Linked DNA regions of Mus musculus: regions 1, 3 and 4 are each reported to be linked to region 2. Evidence: microRNA targets listed by miRTarBase, many of them from high-throughput screens and not tested one by one. Region 2 holds a microRNA gene; each other region holds the end of a gene's coding sequence. Distances are from middle to middle.

Region 1 (4,060 bases), not on the chromosome of region 2:
GAAATCATGGGAATAATATTTTCTATTTGTTTAAAAACCAGGTTTTTAGGGTCTGGTATATTTGACCCAAATCTCCTATTTCGTCTAAAAATAACTAGCCAATCTATATTGGAACTCCTATAAGTGAATTTTGGGGAAAAAAAAAAAAAAAAAAAAAAAAAACCTCAACATTTCTTTCTTACAGAAAAGAAAAAAGCTGGACTATTTGAACAAATCACTAAAACTCATGGGACAATTATTGGCATTACATCAGGAATTGTCTTGGTCCTTCTCATTATTTCTATTTTAGTACAAGTGAAACAGCCCCGGAAAAAGGTTATGGCTTGCAAAACTGCATTTAATAAAACTGGGTTCCAGGAAGTATTTGATCCTCCTCATTATGAACTATTTTCACTAAGAGAGAAAGAGATTTCTGCAGATCTGGCAGATTTGTCAGAAGAACTTGACAACTACCAGAAGTTGCGGCGCTCCTCCACGGCCTCCCGGTGCATTCACGACCACCACTGTGGATCACAAGCATCCAGTGTGAAACAAAGCAGGACCAACCTCAGTTCCATGGAACTTCCCTTCCGAAATGATTTTGCACAACCACAGCCAATGAAAACATTTAATAGCACCTTCAAAAAAAGCAGCTACACTTTCAAACAAGCTCATGAGTGCCCTGAACAGGCTCTAGAGGACAGAGTGATGGAGGAGATTCCCTGTGAAATTTATGTCAGAGGGCGAGACGATTCTGCACAAGCATCCATATCCATCGACTTTTAATTGCTGACTAAAGGCATTATTGTTAAGTGTGTATGCAGCCTACACCAACACTCATTCTATCTCCGCATCCAATCTTGTTCTATCAAATTTAGAAAGCCCTTCATAACTTATCATAATGCTGATGATTTTATTATCTCAGGCAATCTATATATGTGAAACCAACTAAGAAACTTAAATGTATTCAGTGGAAAGAAGGCATCATCTGTTGCTGGTATCTTAACCTGTAAAACACCACCAGTGCAATAGCAGCTGAGGAGCAGGTCATGCATGTTAAGTCAGGCAGAGCAGCCCGGTGCTGTGAACACCAGGCACTGTGCGTGTCTGCACAGCCCCATCAACTTGATCTCACAGTAAATTTAAAAGTTTTTTCTTTATATTCCTTTTGTCCTTCTTTTTTCTGTTATGTTTTCTTTGCCTGTGGTTTTACCATTTCAGTTTCCTGCAGACGGGGATAATATGTCACTCAATTCAGCATGGCCATGCATTTGCTCCTAAATGAGTGTAATACGGCTAGTACTGTAATAAGTGGCAGTTTAAGATGCAGTCATATTTCATTTCTTCCTGACTGATTTCTACACTGTTGTCTTTAATAACTGCATCTTTAGTTCTGCTTTTCTATGGGAAGTAGGACTTATCACCTTTAATCATGTTTCATCTTAGTTATACTAAAAAAGTAAGAATCCTAGGGTATATTATTACCAGATACACATGAACAGAATTTTGAGAAAGATTAAAAACTTGTAGCAACCTCTGAAGTTTTCCCCACTGGGTCTCAATTCAGTGACAGTAATCAGGGTCCTAGAACTCACCTGTGAGCAGACCTTTAATTATGGCTCCATGCAGAGCTTCTCAGATCTTATTCCCTATCATCTTTCAAAACGATTTCTTTGTTCTCTTGGTATTGGTTTGTCTTGGACATGGCCATGGTTGGTGGAAGCTTAAAGAAATTCTCAGAGAAACTGTGTTAGCCTTTACATAGCTTCTGCTTGAAACAGTGCATTTTTCTACCCATTATCGAGAAGAGCAATTTCAACTTTTTTTTTAAGCTGCACTTTTAACCTTATGTTTTTTAAAGTATATAAAACAATAATTTATAAACACGGTATCAAAACTCATTGTGTTTTTTTAGACTTTTGATATTATTTGATATTGTATAAACTTTATTAGATCAAGATTTAAGACATACAAGACAATTTCTTTAAGTCTTCACAGTAGTGACTTTATATAGAAGAATACTGTGATGGGACTGTACTGTAATTTATTATAAAGACCTTGCTCATGGTGATATGTACATACATTTTTCTTTCTTTTGCTGCTGTGTTAGTTGGTAATAAGTTTTTCACTGTGTGGTATTTATTGTTCTAAATCACAACAGAAATCTTATATTAGAGTATACATTAATTCATGATCCTTCAATTATATTATTTATAGCAGGAATCCTTTGAATAAGATATAGATGAGGAAGAATTCATATATTTAATGATAACCAATAGAGATAATGCCATTTTAAAGAAGTAAATTCTCATTTTCTATATTGAACTAAATTTCCAATGAATGAAAAGTTGAGGTTTCACTAGATTTCATTTATTTTTTTAAGTACTACATAAATCTGATTTCTCAGATTACTAAAAACTTTGACCTTTAGTGTGATGTACTTTCTGACCAAAGTGTGTTTTCTGTATGACATTTTTTTTATTTTTAAAAAGGAAATTATATCAAGAATATTGGGAAAACTTACCCTTGGCATAAGCATGACTTAATTTTTTAAGTCAGTAGATGTTCCTGCTTTGTAAAATAGAACTTGGAAAAGTAAAAGGAATCTCAAAACATAGTAATCACTGAACTATCCAGAGAAAAATTAAATGTTCTTTCAGTAACTATAAGCATTTTATTATGTGACTTAGACCAGCCACCACTCCAACACCATAGTAAATACTTAAATTGATAGCTATGATACCATAGTGAAATAAAAATTAACAATTTTATAAATTATATCCACTATAAAAATAGTTGTCATATTCATCATTAATTTTAAGATTATAGTTTATAGTATGCCTTCATACATCATGATCACTTGTAGGTGTATTTTTATTTTTAACACTATTCTATTTTAAAGGAATTTGAAGGGATTTACAAAACAGTTGTTTGTACAAAATACTGAACATTCCAACCATGTAAATTTGCATGATCTCATGCATCAGCAAGAGAAACTCGGGTGATCATTTGGTTCTAAATTCTCTAACTAGAAAGTTGATCCTTTTCACAGTAGAAAACACTTATATTCAGAGGCTAAAGTGAAAGCCATAAACTTAAGCAGTAACAAATATGAAGTTAAGCTGTCTTATGTGAGTTATTATACCCTACAAAGTACCTGTGTTAAACACACCCTTCAGTGAAAAATGCAAAGCCAGAGGATAGTAAAAATCTCCAGTGCAAGAAAGTACTAAGTACAAACTATATGATACCAACACATTGCTGTCGTTCATCCCAAGTTCACTACAAGCTGTCAGCTCCCAAGTAGCCACAGACTGCAACCTACACATCCCACTGTCTCAAAGACATGGGAATAAACTGTTATTTGTTTGCAGAAGAGAGTTATCAATATAAATATTGAACAAAAACCAAAGGATGTTTACATTTCACATCATGGATCTGAAAGGCTCCCTTAGCTTTGCTTTAGGAGAGTCTTTGTCACTCTCCTACATGCGTTTTGTATCATTGCTAAGCATTAAGGAACTGCAGTCTGCACTGAACATTTCTATACTTTGGATACTACCTAATGATGGTACTTGCTTGGGTCAGGAACATATCAGCTAAGATGAGAAAAGGCTGCTTGTAGTTCCAGGAATAATTAACATTCAGAGATTACACTTTGTTGCAAAATGATGTCTGCCATATGCCCACTTTTATTTACTACAAGTGTTAAGAGAAATGTGCCTGAATCACATTGATTGTGGACAGAAGGAACTTTATTTTGTTCTGTTTAAAGATCCAAGAGAGATGATCTAGTCTAGTTTTGTCAATGAGAAGACAAAACCCTGATGGTGAAGTAGCTCCCCATGGCTCCATCCTCCTAGCCCAGTAACCTTCCTTGGCTTCTTCTCTCCCTGCTTAGCTTTTAAAAGTCACATAATTCCAAACATCAGCCTAGATGTTCCATGCAAAACTTGTTAGTTATGCTTACTTAAAATGTAATGCTGTAATTTTGTATACAAAGGGGGTTTCACCCTCCCTTTTTAATTTATATAACACTGTTATCCCATCAGTTTTGTTACCAGACTTCCTTGGCACCTGC
Region 2 (4,068 bases):
ATGGAAGGAGGCACAAGTAAGGTTCTTCTGCTTTATGAAGCACTCATTCTGCAAATGGAGATCAAGCCAGCAGGAAATGATGATGCTTGATTTAAAGAAATGGGTGAAAAGATAATGACATTTCAATGAGCAAGGAACTTTCAACTCATAGCTTAGTCGGGGAGAAGTCAACCCTCAACTACCATCTACTTGCAGACAATCTACTTACTTCCATGGCAAAAAAGAGAGAGGGAGACTCCAAATCATCTCTGAGAAGCCTCATAATCCAGTGTCTCCCTTTCCAGATGGATCAGCACCAAGCCCTAGGAAAACACCTGACCGAATAGGTCAGTACAGAAAGGTACCTGCTCCATGCTAACACTCAGTACAGAAGGGTACCTGCTCCACACTAACAGTGGCTTCTCCAGTGCTGAGACTGAAAAACAGTGACAGTGAACAAACAGTATCACAGCACAGGGTCATCACTACACTGATGAGCAGCCAGCTCCAGACTAGGGGAAAAAATACATTTGCTTTAGTGGCAGGGTGAACTGCTGCCTCCTTCAGAGGGTGTGTTTTGGAGAGTAGGCACTTTTAAAGGACTTTAGGAGGTGCCAGCCAATTTGGAGCTTGGGAAAACTTCATGTCTACAGAGAATTAAAAAATGCTATCTTAGAATTTCAGGCCAGCTTTCAGCAATCTCAACCTTTTAAATGCCAGGCAGCAGCTGTCCTGAATAGGATGCCAATCAATAGCTCAAACACCTACAAAGAACTAAAACCAGGCAGCTAAAGGAGTGTTCTTGCTGTATACCTTTTAAAGGGAGATGGACTAAGTATAGTGGTCCATGCCTTGAATCCCAGCACTCAGGAGGCAGAAGCAGATAGATCTCTCCGAGTTCCAGAACAACCTGGTCTACACAGTCTAGTCTAGCCAGGGATACACAGGGAGAGCCTATCTCAAAAATCCAAACCAAACCAAAGAACAAAAGAGGGAGATGGGGTAGACCACCAGCAAATCTAACACCCTGACAGACCCAGAAGAACAAACAACTTTGGAGGAAGGTATAGGTCAGCAGCTCTCAACCTGTGGGTTGTGACCCCTTTGTGGGATGGAAAGATCCTTTCACATGGATCACCTAAGACTACTGAAAAACAGATAGTTGCATTAAAATTCATAACAGTAGCAAATTACAGTTATGAAATAGCAATGAAAAAAATTTTATTGTTGGGAGGTTATTACAACATGAGGAACTGTATTAAATGGTGCAGCATTAGGAAGGCTGAGAACCACTGGTATAGGATAATAACTTTCTCTTTAGTCATCTATTCAGCAGGCAGCCCATAGTGAACAATCAGTACAATAAGAGCAATGCCTGACTGCATCACAGATCTTACCACCTTGTCTTTAAAGGAAACTCCTGGTGGATACATGGGAGCAAAAATCCAATAAGGAAAACAGGCTCATGGTATTATCAGCTCCAAACGAAGAGAGACAGTCTGAGTTCTTGTGACTTCTCAGAGAGAAAGGAAGTAACCCAAGAAAAGGAGACAAGTTCATGGGCACAAACCTGCAATGTCTCAAAGCCGATGAGCGCAGCCGGGGACGACTGTGGCAGCCTGCCGCTGTAAACATCCGACTGAAAGCTCCTCTCAACACCTTACAGCTTCCAGTCAAGGATGTTTACAGTAGCAAAGACTGCCCAGAAAAATAAAGAGCTTCAGTGAGGCACAACCTGCTCCCATAAGGAGGTGACCCAGGGCTTGCTAACCCAAAAACCCTCATGCAGGGTCAGAATTAATGTCAATTAGGATGCCCACTTCTCCAACAGGTTTTCTGACTGGTTATTTGTACAGGTCAACATGGGGAGAATGGTTGTCATTAAATGACTCTAAACAGTATACTACAAAATAATTAGTTAAAAACACTTATATTTTATGAACAAAAATAAAACAAGCAGGACATGGTATGGCTTTACTTCTCTGAGGCATATTACACTAAACCTAGTGAATCATGCAAACTGCGTGCCTGAAACAATGAGCTCTATAGGACTGGGGTCTATCACAATCACAACTAAGTTATATGCACCCAAGTGCTGAACAAAACAAATGGTGTGATCTTTGGAGATGAACAGGCAGAAGAAGGGCAGACACTTAGTTCTTGTAATTAAAAAGAAAAATGTAAATGGTGGTTCTAAAACTTCACTGGACACCAAAGCATCTAGGGAACTTTAATTATTGATTCCTGGGGTCATGGGGTCATAGGTTCTGACTCAGTGGATGATGGGTAGAGTCATCACACTACAGAGACACAGCATAGAGTAAGAAAATAAAAGCCACTGGCTCCAATCTGATCACTATGCACAAAGAGGTTGTTTCTTAGAATCTGAAAACTGACTGGCTGAAAAAGCTTTTATTTTAGATGAAGAAATCCTGAACTGAGCTTCACCCCACTATCTGTGACTAGTCTTTTTAACTTTGTTCTCTCACTGCAACCCCACCCCAGAGGCACTGAGTTAAAAGTACCCATAAATGAGTAGAAGGAGATGCTGAGGATGATCTGGACTACGGAAGAGAACCACAAACAAGAAATGCTTTGGGTGGGAGGGAGGGAGGAGCTCCGGAGAGCATCTTGCCCAGGCCCTGGAGGTGGCAGCTGAGCAAATCCTCCCAGCTCACCTGGCGCTTTGGAGGTTTCAGTTCATCTCTTGGAACAATATCGATGAGAAAGTCGAACTGATCAAATTTTGTAATTGCCATGGCAATATCATTCCTCTGTAACAAAGAAAAACAAAGTTAAAAACTGGCCTAGGAAGAATCTAGTTCTTTTGGCTGTTATCCTTCAAGTAAAAGGACATGATCCTCTCCTATCCCCTAGTCCCAGTGTCTGGGATTAAACCTAGAGCTTTACACAAGCTAGACAGGTATTCTACCATTGAGCTATGCCCCAGCCCAAGGAGATGACTTTTAGACTGTACTAAAAATCTCTAGGTTTGTCTAGAGCTAAAAATAAGAACAGCTCAATTTATATCAGACTTGCTGGACAGAAATCAACGAAAGAGATACACATATCTCGTGCTCTAGGCCAGGACATCTGAGCCCTACTCACCACTATTTCTGCTTGTTCTGGTTTCAAAGCTTCCATAAAGTTGTAAAACCACCATCCTCTGGCTAATTCAGGACAAAGCCAGCAGTCTCAACTGGCATTCTGTGGTCCACAAGGTCAGCCCATCATTCACTTGTATGATCTTTTTAAAGGCCCTAAGCACTGTTTGTTGTTGTTGTTGTTGTTTTTCTTTTTACAGGCACTTATAATCCAGTCGCTTGATTTTTATGTTACCTATGGGTTTTAGTTTAGAAATCAAAACTGCACTGCTTAATGAATAGTTTAATCCGAATTTGAGCCTGAATACTCAAGCCTGAATTTACTATAGGTAGGTAGTGAACACAGAGCTGAAAAGAATGTCACAAGTGGACTTTCTCTTCAAGTCTGATATTATTCCCCTTCCTTTGAATAATAAAAATCAACACTTTTTCTCCCATATGATTTGTGTACTTTATTGAAAGTTTTAAGGTTAAAAAAACAAAAACAAAACCACTAAGCTCAAGTGAGTGATATAGTTAAGTATATATGGGAAAGTAATTTTTGAAATGTATTTAAAAATAGATCACTTTATGGCTGAAGTGAGAGGTATGATAAATTTGTTTTTCTTACTTTATTTATTTATTCATTCATTCATTCATTCATTCATTCATTTCCCCCCTTCCCTTCTTCCTCTTGCTCCTGGGCCCCACTTGCTCCCGGGACCCACTCACTCCAGTCCATAGGTTTTTTTGTTGTTTTTGTTTTTTGTTTTTTAAAAGTATTATTATCTGTTTCTCATTATGGATGGTTGTGAGCCACCATGTGGTTGTTGGGATTTGAACTCAACATCCAGAAGAGCAGTCAGTGCTCTTAACTGCTGAGCCATCTCACCAGCCCAATTTGTTTGTTTTTCAAGACATGGTTTCTCTGTATAGCCCTGGTTAGTTATCCTGTGGCCTGCTAAAGTAAAACTTTAACAGCAGAATTTGGGGAAAAACTAAACAG
Region 3 (4,060 bases), not on the chromosome of region 2:
GTCTGTCCTGGCTTTGGTAGGATATAAACGAAAGGACGGGGCCTCCGATTTCTGGTTCTCTTTTGGAACTTCTGTGAAGCCCCCTTGTGCAGGACTCTGCATTCTGCATTTCTGGGGTGCTCAGACCTTCTAATCCTTCTCTAGGGAAAGTACCAGGTGGCCCCCTTTCTGACTTGAGTGGTGAGCGTTTGTCAGGGTTCAGCCGTTTTCATGATGGTTCCATCCGTCACTGCCTTCTAGATCCTTCTCCCTTTTGTCTCATCAGGCGGCCGAAAGAGACAATCAAAACTTGGAAGACAAAGTGCGGTCTCTAAAGACAGACATCGAGGAGAGTAAATACCGACAGCGCCACCTGAAGGGGGAGCTGAAGAGCTTCCTTGAGGTGCTGGATGGAAAGATCGACGACCTCCATGACTTCCGTAGAGGACTCTCCAAGTTAGGCACAGATAACTAGGGCGGGGCGGAGCAAGTGTGTGTGAGAGGTGTGGTAGACGTAGGACATTCTCCATTTGCTTCTGTAAATGCAGGTGCGATCTGTCTGTCTCCAGACCAATTGTGCCGTCCGCTCACTCCTCCAGAATAGGAAATCTCTCGCTTCTCTGGCTTTGTGAGGTCATGGACAGCTGGAAGCTTCTGACTCAGGAATCCAGAACTTGGTCTACCTTAGCCGTTTACGCAGTCAGGGCAGGGATGTTTAGATCTTCCCTTAAGGGCTGTTGTAACCCTATGAACCGGGGATGGGGGAGTATTTTCTAATCCAAGTACCATTATCCTTTACAGCAGGCCCTCGGGTGCCTTCTGCTGCGTGGCATTCAGTGTATGTGACTCTCCAGCAGGTTCTAGACCACGGGCATGTGGAGGGAGCATCTTTTCCCAGTATGCATTTTGTTGCTTTAGCAGATGTGACATGACATTGTCAACCACAAAGTTCACACTCAAAAACTGCACAACTGACTTACTCAAAAAGAAATAATTGTAAAAAAAAAAAAAAAGTTTTAAGTAAATACACTATTTTGGGTTGGAGCACATTCACGGTTACCCTTGGCTGCCTGTGACCTTTGGGCTGTAGGTCAGACATACCTACTTGAAAGGAAACATTTAGTGGAGACCTCTCTAGAGGGAAGATAAACCAGAAGTTTTGGGGTGTGCGTACTGACAGGGAATGACTAGTTCCTGCTAAGACCCATCCTCCCCTGATTTATTGTGATTGCAGCAATGTTCTTGTTTGTTTGTTTGTTTTTTGTTTTGTTTGTTTTTGTTTCTGATTTCAGAGCAGATGCTTAAGCTGTGGGAACAGAATGCAGGGAGGGTGTCTAGCGGAGTCTGGGCACTTAATAGGTGCTTAATAAACATTCGTTCAATTAAACATATAAGCAGAACTTAGTGTTTTAATCAAACCACACAGCAGAGTTCAGACCCTTGTTGAATAACACATCATCTTTGTTGTGCTGAAATAATTCTCAGAAATGAATGCAGTTTGCTGTTCTCAAACCTAGACTTGGCTCTGAGGCACAGACTGTGGCAATGTAATCATCATAGACTACTCTGAGGCCCTCCTGCAGGGACCCCAGCCACGATCCTGGAGGACATTGCCTGTGGGACCTTCCTTCTCTTCCAGGCAGAGGGCCTGGAGTTGGAGACTTTCTGGATACCAGGAGAGCATTGTATAGGAGCTAGCCTGGGCTTAGAAGACAGGCTGGGCTTCCTGTAATAGGTTTGAACAATACAAAGCCATCCTTCACGCCATGAGGATGAGAGCCCCTCAGGTGGCAGCTTAGCCTTAGAGACAGAGATGCTCCTCCCAGGTCTGCCTTCCCTTTCCCAGTTCCTGCTAAGGAAGGGCCTGCAGCCAAAAAGCTCTCTGCTCACAGAGAACTTCTTAAAGGAACCATTGGACTTTCAGGTCCACAGGCATTCCTCTTTAGGAGAGTTTGCACACAGGAGGCAAGGTTTGTTAACCCTGACCCCCAACACTTCAGAATGCCTTGAGCAAGGGAAACGTTGGTTCCCTACCCATCTGAGAACCCTCTAGATGTATCCACATGGGATCAGAAATTCTTCCTCTTGAATGAGAAAACAGCCTGAGGACAGGGCTAGGGTCGGCACGTTTAAGACCCAGGCCCTGTGGCGACTTCCAAGTCCTCATCTTTCCTTGCAGTGGCTGATGAGTCACTCTGAGCAAGGAATTCGATCGGGACAAAAAAAAAGGAAGGAAGGCTGGTGATGTGGAAGGCTGAGTTCTGTTAGGGGGTGACCCCATCAATTTGGGATGCTTTATACAACAGAGTGGTCACCTCTGATGTAATTCAGCCAGGGTGCTGCCGTTCCCCACAGCTCCCAATAGTTCTCAAGTCAGTAGCAGCTGCTACTGGTGCACCAAGAGAACATAGACTGGGTTAGCTATGGCCCAGCATGGGCTAAGGGGAATTCTTCTTAGGCCACCCCAGCCCCTTTGCCTACCAACAGCCTGGACACATGGCTCCCAAGAGCAGTGGACACTGGGGCTGTCAGCTCAGGCTTCAGATGAGCTTCCATTATCAGGTAGAAGGAGCGCTCTCGGCTGGCTGGAGTATGATCTGGTGACATGACCATATGAGGACACTTGCTAAGGCTACTGAACTGGAAGTGTAGAAAGTTCTAGAAGTTATGAGCCCAGTGGGCTGGCTGTAAGGTTGAGACCCATGACCCCTGTTGTTAGCACTGGGGGCGTGGGGGGGTTAGCAAGTTTCTAATAGCCAGTAGGTGGGGGAAATAGTTTTTGTACTCTTGGATTCAAGCAGCCCCCAAACTGTCACAACCCATGATCCTAAGACACTAGGACGCCCCTGAAGAGTGATTTAGGCTCCACAGCTAAAGCCCCAAGCAAGCACGGAACCTCCCTTTCATCTGCTTCCTCTAAAGACATCATGATTCTTCATTTTCTTTCTTTTTAAGAACAGTCATGGCCCAGGAATGGCCTGGAAGGTCAACAGTAGGCTAGCCCTGTCTGTAGCCTCTGGCACTGTAAAAGGCAGACTCTGTACGGCGCAAACGACCCACTAAAATTGTTCCGTATCCACTCACACTAGTGGGACATACCTCCATTTTTTCTGATGTCCAGCCCAGTCTTAGGACTGTTGTCGTGGCCTCAAATCCCATACAGATGGTGTGAGCTGTTTTCCCCCAGCAATTACGGCCACAGAGTGCTGCCTGCAGAGCCTGGAGTCAGATGAGCTCTGGCCTTGGCATCTCTGAGACTAGCAGTCTGCACCTTGCTTAGCTTGCATTCTGCAGCCATCCACATGGAACCTAAAAGAGGCCAAGAAAACCTCAGAGCCCTTTAGCCGTGATCCGCATGCATTTCTGACATGAGCTGGGGTAGGGTGGTGCCTAGGAATGAGAGACCGCTGGAAGGAAGGATTGGGAGAGAAGAAACAGCCCGTGCTTGACCTCTGATCATCTCCTTCCATTGCTTCTCCCCAAGAGCTGTCACTTTAGACCTTAATTGGGTGAGAGAACTTGGCAGAGATTATCAACAGGAAGTGGAGGCAGAGTAGCCCAGAGTAACCCAGCTGTGGCCAGCAGCGTGGGCTCTTGGGTCTCCTGGACCTTGATCCGCTGCTCTCCTATGAGCCATATTGTCACTCTCCCTTTGGTGTCCCTTAGGTGCCAAGAAGAAATAAATACTCCTCTGCCCTACTAAAAGCATGTTGCAACTATATTAATTGGAGTGTGTGTCCACAGCAAGGAATAGCCGACAGGGACACGGCAGAACTGTCCACCATACACAGTAAAGTCTGTTTCCTTTGAATGATTCTGCTCTGTAGGGATCTCTTCAATGATCTCTGTGCTTGGTGAGGCCAGTTTGGTGGAACACTGTCTGGCTTTGAATTCTTTGCTGATGACTTTAATGAAGGTCCACTCACGTTTTTAAAGAGGGGAGGAGGCCTTTGATGGCAGAGACATAAACAGGAACAGAACAGACGAGCCACAGTTGGGGAGGTGCAGACTCATCCAGTGCCTAGAGCAGTTTGCATGCATGCCTGGCTGTCCACAGAGGGAACTAGCTGCTCTCCAGCCT
Region 4 (4,060 bases), 110 Mb from region 2:
TAAGGGTCTGGGCTTAGAGTACCGGCCAAGCTTGGTTCCAACACCAGGGTCTATCAGGACCAAGTTCATCTTTTCAAAGAACTTGGTTTCTTTATACACTAGAAATACTGGGGGGGGGGGGGGGAGAGGGGGGCACATCATAAACTCAAATTCAAACACACAAACTGGGACTGAAAATTTCCAGTTTCCAGATCTAATTTCACAGGCTTCCTTCCCTGTGTAACAACACACTCCTATTACGGGATCAGGACTGGCTCCCCATACCCTTTAATTCCTTGGCTTCCCCTGCCCCTCCCCCCTTTTCTTCTATGATAAAAAGGGTGGTATGCTGGTGTCATGGTCAGCTCCAGACCCAGTGACATCACACCTAGGCAACAGTGACCTACACACCTGTTGCCAAGACAACCACCACCATATTCCCAGAATCCATTTGGCTCACTTCCCACCACTAGGTCTCCATTTAAATAAAAGGCAGACCCCTCTGACCTCTCTCTCCCTCTTCCCCTCCCCCACCCATCTCCTTCACAGCCACCTTTGCCCTTTTCTCCTACCATAAACCACGTGGAACTGTTTGGCCTGGTGTGGTCTGTCTGAAGCCACACTTCTAACACAACACCTATGACCTCAGCATTTGGGAGGCAGAGGCAGGAAAGTGAATATATGGTCAGCCTAGGCTGCATAGAGACCTTGCCCCAAAAAGAAACTAAAAAAAAAAAAAAGCACTTCTTTCAAGTTTCAGCCTCAACTACACTATGCAATTATGAAGAGGAATATATAAAACACAGTAACACCAAAAACTTTGGATCACCCCCCCACACACACACATATAATTTTTCTTTTGAAAACCAATGCAGTCCTTCAGGAGGGCCGGTTGGACCACGGTTCACACATCCTCCAATGCAGTGTGAGCCACTTACTTTCCGTTTCTCGGCTTCCCTCGTGGAATTAAGCATCACACAGTACTGGTGCTCTGGTGCCTCATTTACAGCACGGGAAACACTGGTTAGCATTAGGCCGAATCGTAAATATTTTTTAGATAGATTCAGGATGTCATGACTTCTTTCCATTGGAAGAAAGAAAACATGTATTTTCCAATGTGGAACTCTAAATGACTTCGTGTAATACAAAACGGGTGCTGATTTCTAAGTTCAGAGTTCTTACTGCTGCCAAGCAACAGACACCTCTGCTTTGAAGATCAGCATCACTCGAGACACTCAGTGCTGTCAGGGACAGAGTCACACTCATCCCTGTTCACAGAAGCTGACAAGGAACTTTCCAGTAAACAGAATTTTAGGAAGAGACCCTTTGGTAATGCAGTTTATTGAACCAGCTCTCCCTACTCAAGCGTTTCCGTTAAACATTTAAGGTCTCTGCTCCCCGCAGATCTAGCTTCACTTCCATGGTCAAAGGAGGCCATTTCAGAAGGCACTTGCTTAACCGAGCACAGGCTGGTTAGCCTTCAAGATTTTGCCACTCTTGTGGCTTCAAGTTTCTCCTCTTCCAGTCATATAGGCATATTTTCATCTTGGATACACAAGTCAGCTGGAATCTCACTGTCCAAAAGGAATTTAGATAGGCTGGCCTGTCCCCTGTAGAGGATAACCTGTGTGTGCACTGGTATGTACTGGTGTGTAAAGGGGGTATGGGAAGGTAAAAGACAAGCACAATTCCATGTATATCACTCCTTTCTTAGATGGAAATAGGGTTTGCTGAAATGACATAGAAAAAGGTCTTATAATTTAAACCTTATTGTAGAAAACAAATAAAGGATTTAATAATCTAGTAGTCCTTGAGACTGGGTGAATGTGAGTTCATGCTCGTGAATGTGCACGCATGCGTGCGCACACACACACACACACACACACTTAAATGGGTCCATTTTAGTTCCACGTGGGTTTTTCCACACACTGGCTCTTGATATCAAGCTCTGGTCTGCAGGACACCAGAATGCCTTTGTGTCCCTTGCTGACACTACGACATTGTGTTTTTTTCCCATTATCCAAGGATAAATGACCTAGATAGTGTGCCTATTAAAGCCTCATTTTTCTTCTGCCCTTTTGTCTACTGTGTGCCCCATTATCACAGGCTGCACACATTTTCAGGAGCCCTACTCTCAGATGCCCTTTCAGGGGAGCAATAAGAGGTTTGTGTGTGTGTATGTGTCTGCTGAGATATCTGGCGTGGAATTACATGAAGGTGGTAATTCAAGGTTTTCCTGTCCATCTGGTCTTGGAGACAACTAGTGTGTGTTACTAACAGCTAATCTAGCATGAGAAGACACGGTAAGCAAAGTCCGAATGCCAGAATGCTGTATTTGCAGCTATTACGAATTAAAAAAAAAAAAAAAAGTGGACACCAGCTCCCCTGTACACTGCATTCTATAACTACATCTCTGCATATCATGGGTCACTTTTATTAAAAGCATCATTACTACAGTTGGCAGAAATTTACATTTTATCTTACATGATAGCAGTTTTCAGAGAAAAAAAAAATCAAAGGACATCACAACAAAGAAAAACATTTACAAAGTCCTGTCTGTAAACTTCAAGGCTAGTTCAGAGCTGAGGTAATGCTGTTTTAGCTTTGTGGCTAAAGTAACAAAGTCCTTTAATTTAAAAAAAAAAAAAAGGTACCTGATTCTCACTTCTCTCAATCTTCTATTTACTCTTCTATTTATTTAGTTTTTACCAGTGCATCACAAGACCACAAGCCAATGGAACTGCAGTTGTCTGGCAAGAACCCTCCCAGAAGGTTAGTTTTCCAAAGGGACCCTTCACATTCAACAGCTGCCTGATTATTGCTGAGCCTCGGGACAGAGGCGTTCACACTAACGTGGAGATTGTCAGAGTGTATGGATGTGTGTATGCAAATGTGGGAACCCCCATAAAGTCAGAAAGGGAGACGAATGAACAAGGGATGATATGTATGGTAAATTTCATCTTGACCTTCACAGCAAAAAAAATTAAAATTAAAAAATTAAATATATAACTTCATACGTCCTCTGAGTAGCACTTCCTTCCACTAGTGCCGCTCTGTTACAGATTGCTCTTTATTATAATACCAGTGGTACCCAAAGAAAAAAGCAGAGCATTATGTAAGTTTCCTTAAAAAGACATGATCACCTCTCAAATTTCATCCTTCCTAGGGATAATAAATAATGCACTGCACAATACTTATGACCAAGATACCTTCGGACACACCTGCATAACATGACTTGGACTTTTTTCCTTTTTTTTTTCTTTCTTTTCTTTTTTTTTTCTCTTCTTTTTTTGCTACACTATGTTACAGAACAGCTTATAAAACTAGGTATGAACATTAACTGTGAGTGTAAACAGTAGGACTACCACCTGTCAACAGTTTTCAACACTTTCAGTGGAACTGCTGCTGCTGTTACTCGTCGTTTCCGGTGTTTTCTATCTCATCCCCGCCTTCGAGGGAGTCCAGCTCTTCACCCTGTGCAACCTCGTCTTCCAAGATGGAGGACTCTACAGTCTTGTCCAGGTTCTCCTCGGCATCGCTGCCCTCCAGGGTCTCTCCGTCTTTACAGGGCCCTCCCTCGGCCTTGTCAGCAGCCTTTTCTTCGCTGGTACCCACGGCGTTTTGGAGTCCCGCCAGTGCTGGGAAGCCAGGCAGTGTCAATCCCCCCAGTCCTGGAGGTAGAAACATGGATGGGTAGAAGAGGCCTGGGGCCATGGTGGACAGGAGGAAAGGGTTGAAGGCCAGCGGGTTGGAGGGTAACGCAGCCGGGGCAGTAGCAGCACCAACAGATCCGTTCGCGGAGTCAGCAGCCGAAACGGTGTCTGTGCTTTTCTCAGAGTCTCGGTTCTCGTCTTCATTGTCGTTTCCTTTCTCTTCCGCTTTGGAAGTGCCATCCTCTGGCTCTCCTTGACTTGAAGCAGTAGTGGTGTTTCCAGTAGCAGCTGAGAGAGGGTTGTTCAGCAGCCCGCCCAAGCCGAACACGTTGGGCAGGCCCGCCATCCCTGGCAGCATCAGGGGCAGCACTGCGGCGGGGCTCTTCGCATCGCCTCCGGCGGTGGCAGCTGTGGCCAGTCCTGGAGGG

What was found. The annotated mature microRNA mmu-miR-30e-5p reads UGUAAACAUCCUUGACUGGAAG and lies in region 2 at 1,646-1,667, opposite strand. An mRNA with a match to its seed (bases 2 to 7 or 8) in the 3' UTR can be bound and repressed. Matches are read on the target gene's strand: a 7mer-m8 pairs with bases 2 to 8, a 7mer-A1 pairs with bases 2 to 7 and ends in A, and an 8mer does both.
Region 1: the mRNA of Neto2 is a reported target of mmu-miR-30e-5p. Seed matches in the 3' UTR shown: 8mer at 3,395-3,402.
Region 3: miRTarBase lists Homer2 as a target of mmu-miR-30e-5p. The part of its 3' UTR that is shown has no 7-base or 8-base seed match.
Region 4: miRTarBase lists Chd7 as a target of mmu-miR-30e-5p. Seed matches in the 3' UTR shown: 8mer at 3,327-3,334 and 7mer-A1 at 2,537-2,543.

What each region holds. Positions count from the first base shown.
Region 1 is chr8:85,637,241-85,641,300 of GRCm38, reverse strand. It overlaps Neto2 (neuropilin (NRP) and tolloid (TLL)-like 2), which reads left to right. Exons shown (of 9, transcript NM_001357288.1): 9 at 185-4,060. The coding sequence ends at 765. Among named protein-coding and RNA genes, the nearest start is that of Mir8109, 62 kb to the left of the region's middle.
Region 2 is chr4:120,771,015-120,775,082 of GRCm38, forward strand. It overlaps Mir30e (microRNA 30e), which reads right to left and starts at 1,683; the gene lies at 1,592-1,683. It overlaps Nfyc (nuclear transcription factor-Y gamma), which reads right to left. Exons shown (of 10, transcript NM_008692.4): 5 at 2,658-2,753. Mir30f (microRNA 30f) reads left to right here and starts at 1,592; the gene lies at 1,592-1,683.
Region 3 is chr7:81,606,647-81,610,706 of GRCm38, reverse strand. It overlaps Homer2 (homer scaffolding protein 2), which reads left to right. Exons shown (of 9, transcript NM_001164086.1): 9 at 266-4,060. The coding sequence ends at 454. Gm44570 (a long non-coding RNA gene) reads right to left here and starts at 581. Exons shown (of 2, transcript XR_001778192.1): 1 at 154-581.
Region 4 is chr4:8,865,986-8,870,045 of GRCm38, reverse strand. Chd7 (chromodomain helicase DNA binding protein 7) reads right to left here. Exons shown (of 38, transcript NM_001277149.1): 38 at 1,597-4,060. The coding sequence ends at 3,391. Among named protein-coding and RNA genes, the nearest start is that of Gm46842, 43 kb to the left of the region's middle.